Canis lupus familiaris: one gene and its partners. The protein of the gene in region 5 interacts with the protein of the main gene of each other region in a pairwise test. Links are inferred from orthologs where the notes say so. Each region holds a gene or a part of one and is shown on either strand. Other genes may lie near its edges.

Region 1 (4,149 bases), on a different chromosome or scaffold from region 5:
TGAAGAGCAACAACGGGTTAAGGGTCGCTGTGCTTTATTAGACGCATATGCGACATGGAGCTTTTAACTGAGCTGTGATCATTGTGACATATGTTAACAAGGTGTAATACAGGCTTCATCGCCAGGCCCAACATTTCAGTAAATCCGTTCCTAACACATTACCCACATTATTTGCATCTCTTACTCGGCATTTGTCCTTCACAGAGAAAGATGCTACTAATATTGATCGGCTGGATAGGAAGTTTGGCTTATGCTTCCTGCCCACTAGATGGTGGAGAGCCAAGTTATACCCATCCAGGCCCCAGGGAAGGAATTTGTTAGCCACACAGCCTGTGACAGTAAAACAGACCGAGGTTACTTAACCCAGAGGGAGAAACAAGGACCAGACCTCATTGGCAGAAGTAACAAGAGAAAATGAAAAGATTATTACTGTTATTCTTTAAAAAAGTCACAACTCATAAGGTTTAGAACTCCTTAAAGGTTGAAAAAAAGTGAGGAAAATTCTAGCACTTGTTATTATTTATTAATCAGTTGGGATATTTTGGGACAGGTACAGATTATGTGCCTGGTACTAGGTTGAGTACTACATGGAAAAGTATTTATTCTTAACAATCTGGACACGGGTTTATTATTTAACTGTATTGGCTAAACAGAGCCAAGAGCTACTATGACCTTAGTTTCTATCAGCAAACAGGACTCTTTTGATCTTGTTTCTTTTTTTCACCATCAGGTGACAAATTTCCTAGACATGCAAAAATTCTGGCTGCTTAAAGCTTTCTTGGCAATCGCAGGAGGAACAGAGCATCATCACCCTGCCAGCGGTTAGAGTTGAAGCACTCGAGGTACTTACCCTGAATGGCTGGTCTGGGATGAATGGAAAGTAAGGGATTGCAGACTGTTCTTCACCTCTTTCGCCAGATATACAAGAATTTCTGAGTAACTGCCGGTCTGTGAACACAGCTTTGAGTTCAATGGCCACATCGGCGGGAGGGTCTTCTGAGTCACCGCAGGTCAGGCTGATCGCGAAGCTGAAAAGAAAATCATCTCATTTATTCTGAGTCCACTATCAGCAACCCAGGCTCCCAGAGTTCCTCCTCCTTCTTGGGGTTTGTCTGCTTTGAATGGGCCACTATTCTTTACACAGCAGATTAGACTATGCATGGAGAAAGAGGATTACAATCAAGCCGGGGATTTTAATACCTAAAGGAGGCTCTGGTAACAACTTTGGTGGAGTTGAACATGGCTAACATTAGGGATTTCAGAAAGCCAAAACCACCGACACATGTGTGTCTTAACCCATTTCAGAATTCTCAAAAAACAGCCCCAGAAATTGACCAGGGGAGATAATATCTTGTAATGTTTGCTTGTCATTTGTACTGATAGATCTCGCTCCAAGCACCATGTTTAAAAACCCTTAAGAAAAAATTGTTTGGCCTCTCTAAGGGTCAAAGAGAAAATGATGTGGGCCTATATTTATCATCTCTGATATAAATAGCTGTCTGGAGAAATGATGGCTGGGATTCATACACATTCTTTTCATGGGAACATGGTACTTTCTTGGCACTTCCAACTAGCAACACTGGCCACAGGGACAGGAGGAGGAGGAGCAATAAGCCACAACAAGAGTGGGCAGGGCCTTGTAACTGCCAGATAATAAGCCTTGGGGTGACAAGGACCATCTTACCTCTCTGGGTTGAGGTCTACGATGCCCATCACCAACACCTTCTTGCCCGGTCTCATGCCACCTTTAATGTGCCCACAAAATGGAACTATCTGCAAAGGATGACAGGAGACACAGGACGTTTACAGCCTGTCCGGCAAGAGCCAAGTCCTCAGATCCCCAGGACCTGACCCGCTAGAAAATGCAATTAGAAAGGAAAAGCGGGCAGGCGGAGAAGAGCACAGAACTCAATCACTTACCAGTCGTGGGAAGTACACGTCGGCTTGAACTGGAGAGCCCAAGGAGTTGTTTAAATGCCCATCATCCAGTTTCTAAAAATAGAAGCACACAGATTGGCTTTCCAAAGGCTCTAGTTGTTGTTTTTTTTTTTTTGGGGGGGGGGGGTGTCGGGAGGAGCAGGGGAGGGAGTGGAGCAGCACCTATACGAATCCGGCTGAATCCAGCAGCCCGCACAGGGCACAGGCAGCGTCTGCAGAAGCCGCCACCTCCCAGCCCCGGGACGAACCCCGTCCTGTCCCCCGAGGCCGGTGGCCGAGCTTCTGCAGCTCCCCAGCCCTGCGGATCTAGACCAAGCTCCAGGTGGAGGCGCGCCGGGCGGGGGGCGGGGGGGGGGGGAGGCCAGGCCCCTCCTCGACCGCAGACGCGCCCAGGCCCGGCCTGCAGGACGCCGCGGGGGTGCCGGGCCGCGCTCAACTTCCTCGGGGCCCCCCACCCCCGGCCCCAGCCGCTCCCCGCGGGGAATCCCCGGGACGCCGGCCGCGGGGCGCGCGCCCCGGGCACACTCACTCACACTCGCGCACACGCACACGTGCCCCGGGCACACACCTGGCCGCCGGCCCGCCCCCCCCGCCCCCCCTCCGCTGCACCCCGGGCGCCCCGCCTGCAGCCCCCCGCCCCCCGCCAACAGGTCCCCGGCGCCTTCCCACGCGGGGGCGCGGGGCTGGGCCTCGGCCTCTCGGGCACGGCCGGGCGGCGGGGCCCCGCTGCACCCTGCCCCGCGCTCACCCCCGCCGCATCGCTGTCGGCCACCGATCCCGCCATCTTCCTGCACCGCGGCGCCCGGGGGTGCGCGGCTGGCGGCGGCGGCGGGGACGTGGGACGCGGCGCGCGGGCGGGATCCCGGGGCGGTGCTGCGCCGCGCGGGGGCGCGGGTCCGAGGCTGGCGGGGCGCGCACACACACGGGGGCGCGCGCGCACGCCTGGGGCCCGGCGCCGGCCGGCGGGCAGGGAGGGCCGGGGGAGGGGAGCGGGGGTGCGGGGGTGCAGGGGAGGTGCAGGGGTGCAGGGGAGGTGCAGGGGGGTGCAGGGAGGTGCAGAGGTGCAGGGGTGCAGGGGAGGTGCAGGGGGGTGCAGGGGAGGTGCAGGGGGTGCAGGGGAGGTGCAGGGGAGGTGCAGGGGGGCGCGCCCGCCGGGTCGCAGGTGGCCGCCGCTGCCCGGGCCCGGCTCCGAGTCGCGGCCGCTTCCTTCCTCGGGTGCTGCTGTCGCCTCCCGAGGGGGGAAGGTGGCGCGGGCCGCGTCGCGCTGGCCCAGGGCGGCATTTAAAGGGAACAGGGCGGGGACCCGGCCGGGCCGCCGCGGCTCGCTCGGCCCGCCCTGCCCCTCGGCCGCCGGGAGGTGGCGGCGGGCGGGGGGGAGGGGCGGGCCCGGCCGTCGGGGGTGCGGCGGGGCGGGGGCCCGGGGCTGTGGGGTGGCAGGTGCCGTGACCCCTTCGCCCCCCGCCGCCGGCCCCTGGTGGGGGGGGGGGGGCTGCCGGAGCGCCCGGTGCCTTTCAGAAGAAGTCCAGCCCGGCGGAGGAGAAGATCCTTTGGGCCTTCTAGGCGGAAAGCTAATGACAGGACTCCAGGCTTGTGGAAATAAATATTTGGCCCGAAAGCAGGAGGCTGAGAGGACTCGTGGTAGGGACTTTTTCAAATGCCAGGGGGCTAGGGGGCCTGGCTCTGTCCCCCGAGTGGAACTGCCCAAGCGCATCCCTAGCGCTGCCCCCAGCCCCTGACACCTGCTGGGTGTGAGGTCATTAATTTCTCGCTGGAAAACTCTTTGTATGGTTTGCGGAGTAATTCCTCGGGTACACCCCTTTTATTCCGAGGCACGAATTCCTCTTTGGCCTTTCCGCACTAGGATGATTACGTAACTTCTCAGATAAAGCTGTATCAACATACCCTCTATTAAGTGACATCTTGGCTTAAACATTCCATTGTGTGAATCACCAGGGTGTTTTACACTAATAAGCAGGGAGCATGTGTGGCGGTCCCAGAGGAGCCCTCGGAGGCTCCCTTCCAGCCAGTGCTGTGGCCTGTGTGGCCTGGAACATCACTGCGGCTTTTGTGTCTTTTGCCCTCCCTTTATGGACCAGAGCTAATCTGGTCATCTCAGTCCAGGAGGGATGATTACCTGCACACGTCTGTATGCACACGCCGGCTCCTTTGTGTGCTCTGAATTAGAGACCCAAGTGCAACACAGTTGTGGTT
Region 2 (3,511 bases), on a different chromosome or scaffold from region 5:
AGAATGCCCCATTTGTCGGAAGGACATCAAGTCCAAAACCCACTCCCTGGTTCTGGACAATTGCATTAATAAGATGGTAGATAATCTGAGCTCAGAAGTGAAAGACCGACGAATTGTCCTCATTAGGGAACGAAAAGGTGAGTGGGTATGAACAAGGTGAGTCCCCTCAACAGAAGACTGACAAACTTAAGATTTTTTTTCGTTGGGGAAGAGTCAGATGAATGATTCTTAAGCTAAAGAAGAGGAGTAAGAAATGGGAAAAGTAAAGAGAGTTAAAGGTAATGAACATGTGAGAAAGAATTGAGAGAGAATGGATTTGCATATTTGAACATGCAGGGAAGGGAGAGACTTATAAAGTGTGTATGTACCTTGGGTATGGATGTGGGTAGAAAACACAAGGTCACACAGTTTGTTAGACTGACCACTAGATGGTGCTGTTGTGCAAAACAGTTTAGTTGCTCTCCAGGTGTTGGCAAAAACCTTGGGCTGGGTACACAATCAGTTATCAATAAGAGATGAACAAGTCAGAGATTGACAAATTGGAAAATACTTGATGAGAACACATATAAAAGTTTTATAGGAAGTCATAGCTTAATTACACAAATTGGACATAATGTTAAACGAGAGAGCTAAATCTAATCTTTGGGGATCCTGATATGTTTACCAATTAGTCTGCTGGTTGAGGAGAATTTGGATGAAGAGATTGGGGAATGTGTGGGTGTATTCCCCTAATAAATCATGTTTCTATGGTGAATATCCACTTATTCAACCAAGTGATCTCATCACCCTTGGATCTTGCTGTGTAGAGGGTTGCAGAGCCACCGCCTCCCCCACCTCCCTGCCCCCAGACTTGAATGTCCTTGTGGCAAAAGATGTGTCCTGGGGCAAGGCACAAATAAAGTAATGGCTAGGAGGAAGGATTGGTTATTAGCCAGGGATGAGAATGCACAGAAGCAGGGTAGATCTGATTATAATGCTCAGTCCCAAATAGTTGAGTACAGCACTACCTCCTGGGAAAGCATCAAAGCCAAAGTGCTATGATGTCAGTTGGCTACACATAAATGCCAAACAGAGAAGATGTTCAGCCCAGAAGCTCACTGCCCTTACAGGTGCTTCCCACTGCCTGACCATTGGTAGCCCATATTTGTATGTGGCTTTGAATGTACCTTTCTCTAAGTCTAGAGAAACTGAAGGCCTAAAAGCCACACTGCTAGTAGTAGATCTTCTGTCCACTGCTTCCTAGCCCTTCAATGGATGTCAGCTACTTTGAGTGGGACGAGGAATGTGATGCTAATGTGCAAGCGCTGTAGTGTGAAACTGGCCCTCGGCTAGTCAGCCAGAGCAGAAGTAGCAACCCTGTTGCAGAGCCAGGGGAAACAGGTGCTAAGCAAGAAGTGTGCTTGAACCTGTTCTACTTCTACCAAAATGTTTTTCACTTTTCTGACAGCTGTTGCTTATAGATTTTGTGGCCAGTTTGAACCCTCCCAGATCTTTTACCTCTCAGGAGTCCCTTGATTCTGGCAGAGTCCCATTGCTCTTCCTCTCACTTCTCACTCCATCAGCATTTATAGAAATGCTCCACACAGGGATGAAGAGATACATAAGGCACTATTTCAACTCCCACAGCTCTCAGTCTGTGGAGAAGGGAAAAAGGCAAGTAGATAGTGTGACAAGTTCCACACCAGGATCTTAGGACACTGTAGAAGAGCAGACAGTCAGTTTGGCCTGGGCAGGCAGAGGTACGGTAGGTAGGAAGCTTCATGGAAGAAGCGTCATTCAAACTGAGTCTTAAAGGTTCCCAGGGGTGGAGCTTTCCAAGTAGAGGCTTCAGCACAAACAAAGCACAGAGGCATGAGAAGCAGTGATGTGTTCATAGCAGTGGCCCATACATGACAAAATGTCTGCGTGGTGCCAGAGCAGCGTGAAGATAGCCACAGCTTAGGAATTGTTAGCTGAGGTGTCATGAATGCCTTCTGAGAGGAGCAGTGACTTGGGGCCCGATTTAACCAAGGCCACCGTTTGAGCTGGAGTGTGCTAGGTCTCTGTCTCCTTTGGACACCCATGTACTTTCTTCACCCAGCCCACTGACTGGGTTTCTTCTCCTATGTGCAAGCATGGTAGATGGCTTTGTGCAGCACTGGAAAAGGAAGCAGACCCGTGTCCTAAGTTCACCTCCGGCTCCCCTCACACAGAGTTAATTCTGCAGAGTAAATAACGTCAGATCCCATTTTTCCCTCCAAAGGCTAAAGAGGGTGCCTCTCTGCCTTTTTTGGTAATCCTTGGAGCCTGTGTGCTGAACTCCCTGGCCTGGAGGGGTCCTGGCACTGGCCTCTGTTTCCGTGGTTATCACAGCAAGTTCAGCTCTGGGGTGTTCTCCAGAGACAGGGATTCTGAGTCCTCATTTAGGGAAACACGTGCCAGAGCCATCAGCAAGCAGCTTCACTGGTCTGCAGTGTGGGGTTTAGAGAAAATTCTCAGTTCAAATACCAACCTTCTTTGCCAGTTGAAAGCTACTTTAATCCCCAGTGCATGGGAATTTTAAAAAGGACCAAACTTAGGGTCTGGGAACCAGGATTGGCAGGCCTATAATTGTCAGAGTTTGGATGCTGTGGCAGGGCTGTTTTCCTCCTGGACAGGAGTTGCTCTTATCACACATTCAGGGAGGAGACCTGCCTGTCTGTGGTGCTGATTCCACCAAGAACAGCCCCACTCCAGGCCTCCCTGGCTGGAGAGAGGAGACAACAACGTCTTCTAGTTCTGTATTCCTGTGGGAGGAGTGAAGCCTCGAGACTGATGAGCCACTGATCCCTTGTAAACTCTGTGAGGCCAGATTTTACAGAGGAGAGGAAAAGAATGCTCACATACTAGATCCTGTGTTAGAGAAATGATGCTCTGGCGCTGGGGCAGATAAGAAACATTAGTAAGTGCTTGTCACATGAATAATTGTGGCTCTCTAGGATATTGACATGAGATTTTTTGAGGGGAAGACATTTTCTGACATTCTCTGTAGAGGATCTCCCTCTGGAGCTGCTGAGGTACTAGAGCAGTCTTCTGTCAGCTACTCCCCCTCTTCCATTTGTTCTGTTCTCATTAAATGTTGGGTGGTTGACAGAGTGTTAACATTCTCACTTTTAGCTTTCCCTAGCAGTTTCTTTGGGTTGTGTTCAGAAAAGAAGAAAGCAAATTATCTAAAAATAAAATCTTGTTGGTCCTTTAGAATAGTGATTTTCAGTCTAGGGTCTTTTTCAAACTACAATCCCCAGCTCCCTTGATACTGTTACATCAAACCAAGGCTACTCGTGGGAGAGTGCTGTGGCCTTCAAGTATGCCAAGGTTGGGAGGAAGGTTTATGAGACGCAGCTTTCCATGAATCTGTGACACAGAGGCCCCTCCAGAGGCTCAGGGTCTCTAGGAAGATAGACTTAGGTCAGACTCCAGGGCCTGTGGCTCTTGCCAGTTTCCTCTAGGCTGTGAGGAGTGTGATCCAGACACAGGACAGGAGATATTGTCA
Region 3 (4,084 bases), on a different chromosome or scaffold from region 5:
TGTCACAAAGTAACAAATAAGATTTTAGTGTCCTGTATTTCTTACAGTCACAGCCATATTTAACTTTTTTTTTTCCTATTCTTTGAGTTGCTGTGAGTCAAAACAATCGTTTTCTCATATTTACTCCATCTGGACAGCATGGTTTTGGAGCTGTTAAATTCAAAATATAAATTTCTACCTAGTCTATTTTTAAGACCCTTTTCTTTCTACCCCATAACTGCTTCCTTGGTCAGTTACATGGATCCTTCACTGTTCCTTGCTCAAGACTTGCCCCATTTTCTTTTCTTTCCCAGTCTAGACCCAATTTTACAACATAGGTGAAATGATTTGAGAACTAATCCTATTAACAGTAACATCAGGGCCCTCCATGATCTGGTTCTCACCAAACTTTCACCACTCCTTGACTCAAAAATCAAACAAAATCAAACTTTTCAGTGTTTGATACATGCCGCGCTATTTGTAGACCTCAAGACTTTGTTCATGCTGCCCCAACTCTCCCTATCACAACACTTAGGAAATCCTTTCTGTGGTGAAATGCTTTCTGACTTCCAATAAACCAATATATATATATATATATATATATATATATATTTTTTTTTTTTTTACAAATCCAGCTAGTAAATTGATTGCCCTAGAAGACTTCCTAAATAAAATTCAAGCCTTTAAGCAATATTCTATACTCCTTAAAGAGCTAAGCACAGCAAACTCAGCAAGTACTTAATAATTACTCATGTACTTATGTAAAAAGTCATGTCTACACAGGAATGTTTTAATAGACGGTGTTGAGAAACTGAAAAAAACTGGAAAGCCTAAAAGCACACCGTTCTGACTCCAAGCATTCATTGTTTCAGGCACCTTACGGGATTTTTTTCTTTTTTTCATGGCAATAGCGTAAATCATCAACACCTGCCCTCACGTGAGGAAAAAAAATACCTCACCACAACCCACTCAGCCTCATCAACTGAGCTAATCAGGGGCTATTATCAGGACTTCTCTTCTCATTAAACTCCAATTCTGAGCTTTCAAGAGTCTGGACAAACTGCCTTTCTCTATCCACTCAATTCCTTATTCATCACTATCTCATTTTCCTCAGCTTCACACAAAGCTAACAAAAGAAACCCGTAATTCGGACCTGCCTCGCCACAGGATCTTAACAGCAAAGGCCAACGGGAAGCAATTTCCCGCCAGAAGCGACGTCCAAACTCTGCGAGACGGAGGAAGCTAGAGCAGCCGAGGAACATGCGCAGTAGCAGCGTCCACGCCCACAATCCCACAATCCTCTGGTCGCATATTTCCGGTTTTTCTATCTCAGACGTAGGTGGTGTTTCTATCTGTTGCGCGGTCGTGCCCAGTGCTTCCAGAGGAGGTTTTTTTTTGTCGTTGACGTTGTTGCGGTTCACTGTTTGGAATCACTGAAGTTTCGGGAATCGCTGCGGCTGCCATCAACATGTCGGTCCCAAGCGCACTCATGAAACAACCGCCCATTCAGTCTACGGCAGGGGCCGTCCCGGTTCGCAATGAGAAAGGTACGGTGCTGAGCCGGTTTCCAGTCGGATTTTACCTCTTCCTTTCCCAGCGTACTGCAAACCTACCGCAACAGACCACCCCAACCCTACCGACCCTTAAGACGCTGCCCCCAAATATCCTCGACTTTTCCCATCAAACTCGCACCCGGTCGCGTTGCCTAAGGGGGAAAATACCCACTTCCATCTCATCTTGTCCATATCGCCCGGCGGCTGCTCTCACAGCAAGCATCCCTCGTCCTTTGGCCTCCACTGTTAAGTTAGACTGTATACACAGTAAATGCCTGCTTTTGCAAGGCGTTGTGCGGAATACGGTCCCTCTTTTGTTTTCCGTAGCAGTCTGTGCCGCTTCTGTAACTCTTCTGTGTCTGTCTCCCTCTACTGCATCATAAACTCAAACGTCCTTGAGACAGGAACCGTGTCTTATTAAACTTTTTATTCCTTTCAACCAACGCTGTGACTGTATGAAGTTGAATACACACTTGTGTGAGGCAGTGCCCTTAATTAACCTAAAGAAACTCATTTTGTAGGTGTGAGACCTGCAAAAAGAGACATTCTAAGCAGTGTGATTCCTGTCACATAGGTGATATAAACCAAACGATATGGAAGTGTAGAGAAGGAATGATCTTTTCAGATTGAGGTAATCTAGGAAAGCTTCTTGAAGAACATGGCATATAAACCGATCCTTAAAGGATCAATAGAATTCCAGTGCAGATAGAAGGAACATGTTTGGAAGGGGTTAGACTAAAGAGTCCCTTTTTTTCAGGAAGGATTTTGGAAAATAATATGAGCTCTTTTTTTATTTTTTAAACATAACAGTACATAATCTTGTGCAACTTGCCTTTTTTTAAAATTCAAGGTGGCTTTTGAGAAATATCCTTTGATATATAAAGAGCTAATTCATTCAACTACTTATAAATTCCATTGTATAAATGAACCAGTTTATTCCTTCCTGGGGGACAGTTGTGTTGTTTTTTCTATTATAAACAGTGCTGTAATTGGCCTTTTTTTTTTTTTAAAGTAATCTTGACACCCACCTTGGGGATCAAACTCATGACCCCAAGATCAAGAGTCATGTGCTCCACCAACTGAGCTAACCAGGCACCTGTTGTAGTTGTCATTCTTAAATGTGCCTCTTTAGTGCACTGTGTAAGAATTTCTCTAGGGTAGACTCCTAAAAGTTCATCATCAACCTAACTAGCTATTTCCAGTTGCTCTCCACAGTGGGTTGTAAGAGCATTAGGAGTTTGTATTTACCCATATATTCATCCACACACTTAGTTGTATCAGATTTTTAAATTTTGTCCAATCGAATTATGAAATATCTCATTATTTTAATTTGCATTTCCCTGATTACTAGTGAGACTAAGCATTTGTCAGCTATCTAGGTGTTCTCAGAATTAGCTGTTTCTGTCATTTATCCATTTTCTACAGTTTTTCTACATCCCAGATCTCTCATATCTTTTTCCTATTTTGTTTTGGTTCTTTGTCTTGTCTTTTCACTTTAATTGTGGAGTTTTCTGTTTCATAGGCCTTTTTAATTTTAGTGTTTTTGGATTTATCAATTTTATCTTTTATAGCTTGTGTTTTTTTTTTTTTTTAAGATTTTATTTATTTATTCATGAGAGACACAGAGAGAGAGAGGCAGAGACAGACACAGGCAGAGGGAGAAGCAGGCTCCATGTAGGGAGCCTGATGTGGGTCTCGATCCCGGGTCTCCAGGATCACGCCCTGGGCCAAAGGCAGACGCTCAACCACTGAGCCACCCAGGCGTCCCTCTTGTGTTGTTTTGTATATTGTGTTAAGAAATCCTTCCCTATACTGAGATCAATTATAAATATTTTCTCAGTGTTTCTATATCCTAAATACGATTGAATACAAAATTGCGCAAGACAGATTCTAATTTAAGGAACTTGTAATCTAGGAAGGATGTAAGTGTTTTAAGATTTTTTTTTCACACGTGGGTCCTTAATCCATGTGGAATTTTTTGTGGGTGTGGTGTCAGAAATCTAATTTTGTTTATGGTTAACCAGTTGTCCTTACAATTCCATTGTTTGACTAACCCATCCATTCTCCACTGCTTTTTAATGTCACTTCTGTAACATACCAAGCTCCTGTGTAAAGGTTTGTTTGCTCTGTACTCTGTTCCATTGGTCTCTATATACCCCGGAGTCATTAATATATTGTTTTAATCACTGTAAGTTTAAACTAAGCCTTGCAATCTGATATAGAAACCCTCCTCCACCTCACTACCTTCTTTTTTTTTAAGACTTTACTGTTATTAAAATTTTATTTATTTATTTATTTATTTATTTATTTATGAGAGTAAGAGAACATGGAGGGTAGGGAGCAGAGGAAAAAGGAGAAGCAGGCTTCTCTTGCAGTGACCAGCAGGGAGCTCAATGTGGGGCTCCATCCCAGAACCCAGAGGTCATGACCTGAGCCAAAGGCAGATGCTTGACCAACTAAGCCACCTGGGCACCCCAAGACTTTTATTTTTTTATATCAATTTTATGTTTACATTTCCCATATACCCTCTGCTCTGACACATGCATAGCCTC
Region 4 (4,068 bases), on a different chromosome or scaffold from region 5:
GCCCGCACACGTCTAGAGCATCCAGATCTGCAATCAGCCCCGACAGCACACAAGATAAGTGCCTGCAAGTCTCATTATTGTTCACCCCCATCAGAAGTGCGATCAGAGTGCCTCTGGCCTTGTTCACCTCACACATCACCGAGTTGATCTTGGCCACTGAAGGGTGCGCGTCCTCGGAAAGTGGCAGAGAAGGCTGCTTTTTCACACAGTCTTCGATGATCTCCTGCACCGCACAGATTTTGGTTAAGGTGTGGTACCGTGCTTTCCGCAGAGAAATCTTCCCCCCGGTTTTGACATGTGTCAGCCTCAGAATGATATCCTGGATGCCTTCTTCAAATTCGTCAGTTACACAGTTGCCCCCACTATAAAACGGCACAATCTTCTCTTTCACCAGGGCCTGGGCTTCTTTAAAGATGTTCTGTATTTCGATCCGGTGTGGGTGGTTTGCATTCTGCTCCAGCTCTTTGAGAAGACGCTCCGTCTCCTGGGCTGCCCTCTTCCTCGCTTGCTGAATATCTCCTTTTCCTTCAGTATCCACAGAGTCTATTTCAAAGAGTTGTTTTGTTAGAATCCTCTCCAGTTTCTTGTAATTCTTGTCATCTGACAGACCACTGAAGCCAATTACTTGCTGTTCTATACTTTTTACTTCCTTTTGGATTTCCTGAAGCCTACTAATAGAAGGATGTTGGTTGCCCATATCCATACTTTTGTTGTGTTCCGTTTTACAAGCACTAAAAAATGACAAGAATGCCAAATTACACAAAGACTCTACAGACAGGTAAGCAAATATTGATTCATTCCGAAATTCTCATTTTAAGAAGAGGTATTTGAGGGACGCCCGGGTGACTGAGTGGTTTAGCACCGCCTTCAGCTCAGGGGGTGATCCCAGGGTCCTGGGATCGAGTCCCACATTGGGCTCCCTCCATGGAGCCTGCTTCTCCCTCTGCCTGTGTCTCTGCCTCTCTCTGGTGTCTCTTGTGAATAAATAAAATCTTAAAACAAAACAAAAACGGGCAGCCCCAAAGGTGCAGCAGTTTAGTGCTGCCTACAGCCCGGGGTGTGATCCTCGAGTCCTGGGATTGAGTCCCACATTGGGCTTCCTGAATGGAGCCTGCTTCTCCCTCTGCCTGTGTCTCTGCCCCCCTCTCTCTCTGTGTCTCTCACGAATAAATAAATATTAAATAAAATAAATTTTAAAAAAAGATGCATTTGAGTTTAGATCACACTAAGGCCCATCCTTAGTGTGATCTAAACAGCAGTCATACTCAAGTATGGAAAGAGTAATCCACTTTCTTGAAGATCACCTACACACCCCTGTGATTAGGAATGGACAGGGGTGGGATCCCTGGGTGGCGCAGCGGTTTGGCGCCTGCCTTTGGCCCAGGGCGCGATCCTGGAGACCCGGGATCAAATCCCACGTCGGGCTCCCGGTGAATGGAGCCTGCTTCTCCCTCTGCCTGTGTCTCTGCCTCTCTCTCTCTCTCTCTCTGTGGGACTATCATAAATAAATAGAAATTAAAAAAAAAAAAGGAATGGACAGGGGTTACTGCAGTGCAGAACGAGCTGGAGCCCTGGGCCTGATTTCCCAACTTCTTCGCCTGGGTCTCTACACGTGTGGCACGAGGTCAACTACTGGGGTGGAAACAGCACAAGGATCTCAGGTATTAACGCTGGACCCTGGTTGTTGGCAACAGCAGGGCACCCCTGTGGAACGTGCAACAGTTGCTCTTTTGACCTTCAAACGCTAACAGTGCCATCCCAGCACCCACCTGGCCCGAGAGCTATGCCTGCTTTCAAAACAAACTGGAGGGCACCCGGGGGCTCAGCAGTTTAGCATCTGCCTCGGCCCAGGGCGTGACCCTGGAGACCCGGGGTCCAGTCCCGCATCGGGCTCCCTGCGTGGAGCCTGCTTCTCCCTCCCTCTCTCTGTATCTCTCATGAATAGATGAATAAAATCTTAAAAAAAAAAAAAAAATAGAAAAAACAGAACAAAACCCGGAAGTCTAAGTGAAACAAACAGCAGCGGATCCCAGCGACCCCCAGGCCCCGCTTCTACTTCCTCCCCGCCGCTCGGGGCTCCTCCCCGGCCACCCTGTTTCCCCCGCCCCTCCGAGGACGTCGAAGACCCTCCGCGCGGAGGCGAAGATCCCCCAGGAAGGGAAGGTGACCGGCACCGTGTTAAAGGCACCAGCTTGGCCTCCGGAGGGCTGGTGCCTCCCTAGGCCCGTCGGCCCGCTCTCGGGGGAGGGAGGGCGGGCGGCCGGCGGGGCCCCGGCCTCCCCCCCTCGCCCTCCCCTGCCAGCACTTTACCCAGAGGAGGTCTACGCTGGTCTGGTCCTGGCTGCCCGCGGGGAGCTGGCGAGGTGGCAGGTCAGCCCTTTACGGGGTGCGGCACCGGAGCGGGGCCCCAGCTGCATCCCTCTCACCCCTGCCGGCTGGGTGTGCCCGGGCGGCCGGTGAGGGGGCCGGCGGTGGCGCGGCAGCTACTGGCCGCAGCCGCCGCTCCGGGCGTGTCGCCCGGGCCCCCGACGCGCCCGCCGGCCCTGACCTCACAATGGCCCGCGCGGGAGGGGGCGGCCGCGCTCGCAGGGCCTCCGAGCCCCCCGGGGAGCCGGGCCGCGTCGGACGCGGGCGGGGAGCGGCGCGGAGGCCGAGGCCCAGGCCCGGCGGGAGCGGGCGCGGGCGCGGGGGGCGGGGGGCGGGGGGCGCGCACGGGGAGGCCCGCGGCCCGCCAGCCGCCTAGCTGCGCTCACCTGTGCCGCCCGCGCCATCGCGCGCCCCGCCGCCGACGCGCAGGACTCCGCCGCGGTCGCCGTCGCCCGCCCCGCGGCCCCGCCCCGGGCCGAACAGCCCCCGCCCTGGGAAAACGTCCTGCGGCGCGCGCCGCCACCACCGCCCGGCACGGCAGCCCGGAGCTGGCCGCGGAGCCGCGGGGAAAGCGCACGGTCGGCCGCGCCGCTCGCTCCCGCTGGCTTTGCGACCGTGCCGTAAGGCAGCCCCTCGCGCCGGCGCGGCTCTGCCGTGCGTCGCGGCAGCCGGGGGACGCTGGGCATGGTGGGCTTCCGGGCCTCGAGGAGGGCGCTTCTGCCGCCGCTGTGCCGCGCCTTTGCTCGCCCCGGCTGTCCGCTCGGCCCCGAGCGCGGCGCGGAGCGCAGGGAGGCGGCGGCGAGCCGGGTAAGCTGGGGGTCCTGCAGGCGGCGCGCCGGGCTCCGCGCCCCGTCGAGGCCGGCCGCGGCGTCCGCCCAGCTCCCGGGCCGCGGGGGGGGGGGGGGGGGGGCCTCGGAGCCCGCGGCTGTGCTGGGGCCGCCGCGCCGGGGACTTCCCGAGCGGGGGCCTTGGGCTGCAGCGCTTGGCGCGCACGCGGGGTCTCGGCCCGCGCCGTGGCTCCGGGCGCTCTTCCGCCAGCGACCGCGCCCCCGAGCCTCGTGTCTTGCAGGGCCGCCGGGGCGTAGCTCTGGTTTGGAGAACTGCGCGCATAGGTGCGAGGCGCGGGTGGAAGGTTAGCGGGGGTACCTGTAGCAACGAAGAAGGACCGTTTTTAGGAATTGCACTTCTTAGGGGAAGGGTGTTTCGTCCACGGAGTGCCAGCTGTCACGTGGAAGCGTGGGGCTGCAGACGAAATATTTAAACGAAGCCTACGCACACAAACACGGAATTTGCCAACAGGCTAAGGGTGGAGGCTGGAAAGCCTGGGGTAAAAAAGCAGGACTTCCAAAATGTGCCTGCCTGTAAGTTTTCGTCTATGTTAGTCTTTTGCTGTTAGCATGCTTTTTATAAATGTAGTTTTGAAGTTCTGTTCAGTTTATAGTTTATTTTTATTTTTTTTTTTTAAGATTGTATTCATTTATTCATGAGACCCAGAGGGAGAGGCAGAGACACAGGCAGAGGGAGAAGCAGGCTCCATGCAGGGAGCCCGACGCGGGATCGATCCCAGGTCTCCAGGTCACGCCCCGGGCTGAAGGCAGGTGCTTAACGGCTGAGCCACCCCGGGCTGCCCTCTGTTTAGTTTATAGTTTGGACAAGAAGTTGGCGGGGCAGCTGGTCAACCCCCCCTCCCCGCCCCCACCT
Region 5 (3,774 bases):
CAGACCCTCCAGACCCGAGGTGGGTGGTTGACGTGGGGAAGGGCCTTCAGACCCTGGGAGGAGGGATATGTGCAGACCCTCCAGACTGTGGGTGAGTGTTGTGCACAGACCCTCTAGGCTGTGGGTGGGTGGTGTGTGCAGACCCTCCAGACCCTTGGGTGTGCATATATGCAGGCCCTCCAGACTCTGGGTGTGGGCCTATGTGCAGACCCTGTAGACCCTTGGGTGTGCGTATATGCAGGCCCTCCAGACTCCGGGTGTGGGTGTATGTGCAGACCCTGCAGACTGGGTGGGTGGTGTGTGCAGGCCCTCCAGACCCTGAGTGGGGGGCAGTGTGTGCAAACCTTCGGGGCACAGTGCAGACCCTCCAGACCGACTGCTCAGGCGGGGCGCGGGGGTTCAGGGAGGAGGAGGTTCGGAAGGGAGTGAGAGCCCCGTTACTGGATGAGGGTCTCAGGCCGTCTGAGCTCACGGGGCCCTGGGAGGATAGCCGAGTATTTTGCTTTTCCAGTGATCCCGAGGAAAGGAAAGACGTACTAATTCAAGCTAACACACGCTGTAGTAGAATTTTGGGAGTTGTCAAGAACAGGAAAGTTTGGCCCGAGGAGGCCACCGTTGGGCGGTGCTACTCCGCACAATACAGCGCGAGCGACTGCCCCAGTGGAGGTCCGTCCCGTTGCGGGAGGCGGGCCCCCCCACAGACCCGCGGGCCGGCCTCTGGTGAGAGTCCGAGTGCGGTGTCCCGGGGCGGGCGGCTCTGGGGCGCACGCGGAGCTGCAGGACCCGGGCGGCGCTCGGGCCCGGGGCTTCACGGTCGGCCGCCCAGGTCTCGCGAGAGCGCGGCGGCACGTCTCGCGATACGCGGGCTCGGACGCCGAGGAGGGAGATCTGAGCGGCAGCGGCGGCGAGCTGCCGGGGCTGGGGCTGAGGTGAGTGGCCGGGCGCCGGGGTCGCCGGTGGGCGGATATCCGAGGCGGGCCCGGCCCCCTGCCCGCTGGTCTCTCCCCGCCGTGCTCGTTCCCTCGGATCCAGACCGGAGCTCGAGCCGGCTTCGGCGGCGGCGGTGCGGAGCGGGGTCGGAGCGGGGGTCGGAGCGGGGGTCGGAGCGGGGTCAGGGCGGGGCCGGGGTCGAGGTCGAGGTCGAGGTCGAGGTCCGAGCGGGGTCATAGGGGGCCAGGGGTCGTAGCGTGGCCCGGGTCGGAGCGGGGTCAGAGCGGGGCCGTGGGGCGGGACCGGGCAGACCCCACCGGGCGCCTGGGGTCCGGCAGAGCCGCCTGGGAGCCGGGGTTTGCAGCGGGGCGGCAGGGCCCCCCCGCCCCGAGTAGTGCCCAGGCCAGGAAGGGCAGCCCAGGGGTGTGATTTGCAGCGCTTGGGTTTCCGCGGTTGGGTTGAGGATTGGAGTCTCTCGGGTAAAGAGGACGGAGTTTGAGGACTGCCTAAGCGCATCCCCAGTGCAGCGCCTTAGTTCCAGGCGGTTGAAAGCGTGTGCGCTCTTCGTTCCGGGGGGAGTTACACGCATCAGCTCTTACAGGGGCGCCTCTCCGGACCAGGACTTCCCAGCTTGACTTCCCATCACCGGTCGGAGAGTATGGCCCCGTTCGGAAGGGTTTGCTTTCTAGAGTGGACCTCTGCTGTCCAGTGCAGCTCGGGCCTGCATCTGCCGCGGCCCTCAGCACTCTGTGCTTGCATGTCCTGTTCCGCCTTCTACTCCAGGTTTCCACATGCAGTGTGATTGCGAGGTCGAGAGGACAGCTGTGTTGTCTGGGGTGAAAACATGGCCTACAGAGGAGGGCTCTGTGTGCATAGGGCCAAGGTTCTCCCCAAACGGAAATTCAGAGTCAAACTAAGATTCCTCACTTTCTTTCCTCCTCTGGGGGGAACGTGGGGAGGTGTTTTCAATCTAACGCTCAGAGAAGTCCCGGTGAGCTGGCCTTTTACCTAAGAGGTGCCTTTGCTTGTTAACTGCACCTGAGATGCTTCCTACACACTGGTTGGCAGGTGTGAGGCCACCGTCAGCACAGGTTTGGGGATGCAGGTTTGGAGTTGGTTTTCTTTTCTTTTCTTTTCTTTTTTTAAAAATATTTTAATTATTTATTAGAGAGCAAGAGAGAGAGGACAAGGCAGGGAGGGGCAGAGGGAGAAGCAGACTCCCCGCTGAGGAGGGAGCCCACCCTGCAAGGCTCCATTCCAGAACCCTGGGATCAAGACCTGAGCAGAAGGCAGATGCCTAACCAATGCCCGGGGGGTGCTTGTGCTCTGCCCTCTGTGCCCTGGCTTATGGAGCACACCGGACTTTAGAGCCACACAGATCTGGCTTCTGGCCTGTTCTGTAACTTTCTGAAGCCTCGCTTTCATGGTGTGTGAAATATGTGTAGAAAGACCTCATCTCCTGTTGTGTGGCCTGAGATGTCCTGTGTGATGTTATAGGCAGAGTGATGAACTATGGCACCAGGCACCCCCCCATCCAACTTATGATGGATGCTGTCATCCTCACAACAACTGTGCAAAGTGACCCTCGTGACCGTACTTTCCAGATGAGTCCACACTGCCAATTAACTTCAAAAATGTGGCTGTGACACTGGAGTATTGTCAGGATTCTGAGGGAGCATTGGGAGAGTGGGGCCACCCAGAAGTGCCCCTGCCTAGACCTCTGGTAGAGCTAATGGTGCCTGCAAAGGCTCACCGTCACCCCTCCCTGTTTTCCTCCAGAAGCAAAGTGGCCATGGATGACCTGATGGAAAACACCACTGTGCTGTCCACCCTGAGGTCTCTGAACAACTTCATTTCCCAGCGGGTGGAGGCAGGATCTGGACTGGATGCTTCCACCCCTGCCCAAGGTTCTCTGCAGATGCAGTACCAACAGAGCATGCAGGTGAGTGCCGTGTAGCGTGAAGGGGTCTCGGGTGGAACATGTGTGCCCTTGACAGTTCCTTTTCCAGTTGCAAGTAGTCCAGGTGAGTGCTCTGTGTGCGGAGGGCTCTCCAGGTAAAGAGAAAGATTGGGTGTGTCATGGTCTCTGATTTTGGGGACCCATTTGCAGATTTTGGCCTCAGTCTGCCATGATGTGGCTTTTACAGTTTTCCTATAAGAAGTCTTACTTCATTTCACTTTTTTTTCTTTTAAGTATTTATTCACGAGAGAGGCAGAGACATAGGCAGAGGGAGATGTGGGACTCGATCTCAGGACTCCGGGATCACGAACTGAGCTGAAGGCAGGCACTCAACCACTGAGCCACCCAGGAGTCCCTCATTTCACGTTCTTAGAAACGCTTACTATTGACCATGAAGGTCTCCTGGAGGACTTGAGGTTCCACAGAGTTGTAGGGTCAGTCTCATGGGGGCAGGGGTCACTGGGTCCATGTGAGGAGGAGGTGCTGTCTGCAGCCTGGCCCCTGCCACTGTGCACTGCCGCCACATCAGGCAGCAGTCCCCTGCTTGTGCAGCTGGAGCCAGTCTTTGGTAATGGCCTGTGACAGAGCCAGTGGTGTCATGTGGCCCTGGGAGCCCTGAGGAGCCCCAGGCAACATTTGGTAAGAGAAATGCTCCTGTGTTTTTATGCATTCATTTGCTGAATGTTCAAATATTTTTTGTTTTTTTAGTGGGCTGAGTTGCTCACTACCATTTTTTGGCAAAGACTTTTATTCTGAAATTGTTTTTTTAATGTTTGTGTTTTGCCTAAAGCACTTTTTTGGAAATGATGGTGGTTTTTGTTTGTTTTTGTTTTTGTTTTGTTTTTGATTCTTGCTCACTGGTAAAATAAGTTGGCAACTTTGGT

What was found.
Region 1: the proteins of MAD1L1 (region 5) and LGALSL interact in binary tests that used the Homo sapiens proteins (3 or more experiments, as listed by UniProt). The two-hybrid records come from large-scale screens. The link is inferred for Canis lupus familiaris from reciprocal best matches to the Homo sapiens genes MAD1L1 and LGALSL.
Region 2: the proteins of MAD1L1 (region 5) and RNF8 interact in binary tests that used the Homo sapiens proteins (3 or more experiments, as listed by UniProt). The two-hybrid records come from large-scale screens. The link is inferred for Canis lupus familiaris from reciprocal best matches to the Homo sapiens genes MAD1L1 and RNF8.
Region 3: the proteins of MAD1L1 (region 5) and MFAP1 interact in binary tests that used the Homo sapiens proteins (3 or more experiments, as listed by UniProt). The two-hybrid records come from large-scale screens. The link is inferred for Canis lupus familiaris from reciprocal best matches to the Homo sapiens genes MAD1L1 and MFAP1.
Region 4: the proteins of MAD1L1 (region 5) and BAG5 interact in binary tests that used the Homo sapiens proteins (3 or more experiments, as listed by UniProt). The two-hybrid records come from large-scale screens. The link is inferred for Canis lupus familiaris from reciprocal best matches to the Homo sapiens genes MAD1L1 and BAG5.

Annotation. Positions count from the first base shown.
Region 1 is NC_049231.1:65,334,958-65,339,106, reverse strand, and holds the start of LGALSL (galectin-related protein), read right to left. Parts: upstream 2,809-4,149; 5' UTR 2,723-2,808; coding exon 2,687-2,722; intron 1,993-2,686; coding exon 1,921-1,992; intron 1,774-1,920; coding exon 1,685-1,773; intron 1,029-1,684; coding exon 851-1,028; intron 1-850. UniProt on the Homo sapiens protein: Does not bind lactose, and may not bind carbohydrates.
Region 2 is NC_049233.1:6,590,096-6,593,606, forward strand, and holds part of RNF8 (E3 ubiquitin-protein ligase RNF8), read left to right. Parts: coding exon 1-137; intron 138-3,511. UniProt on the Homo sapiens protein: E3 ubiquitin-protein ligase that plays a key role in DNA damage signaling via 2 distinct roles: by mediating the 'Lys-63'-linked ubiquitination of histones H2A and H2AX and promoting the recruitment of DNA repair proteins at double-strand breaks (DSBs) sites, and by catalyzing 'Lys-48'-linked ubiquitination to remove target proteins from DNA damage sites.
Region 3 is NC_049251.1:10,844,030-10,848,113, reverse strand, and holds the start of MFAP1 (microfibrillar-associated protein 1), read left to right. Parts: upstream 1-1,283; 5' UTR 1,284-1,447; coding exon 1,448-1,526; intron 1,527-4,084. UniProt on the Homo sapiens protein: Involved in pre-mRNA splicing as a component of the spliceosome.
Region 4 is NC_049229.1:71,725,851-71,729,918, forward strand, and holds the start of BAG5 (BAG family molecular chaperone regulator 5), read right to left. Parts: upstream 2,810-4,068; 5' UTR 2,754-2,809; intron 2,472-2,753; exon of another isoform or gene 2,311-2,471; intron 732-2,310; 5' UTR 704-731; coding exon 1-703. Other genes in the region: COA8 (cytochrome c oxidase assembly factor 8), read left to right, coding at 3,052-3,174. UniProt on the Homo sapiens protein: Co-chaperone for HSP/HSP70 proteins. It functions as a nucleotide-exchange factor promoting the release of ADP from HSP70, thereby activating HSP70-mediated protein refolding.
Region 5 is NC_049227.1:15,032,397-15,036,170, forward strand, and holds the start of MAD1L1 (mitotic spindle assembly checkpoint protein MAD1), read left to right. Parts: upstream 1-1,446; intron 1,447-2,709; 5' UTR 2,710-2,722; coding exon 2,723-2,872; intron 2,873-3,774. Other genes in the region: proline-rich protein 2-like, read right to left, coding at 580-1,446. UniProt on the Homo sapiens protein: Component of the spindle-assembly checkpoint that prevents the onset of anaphase until all chromosomes are properly aligned at the metaphase plate.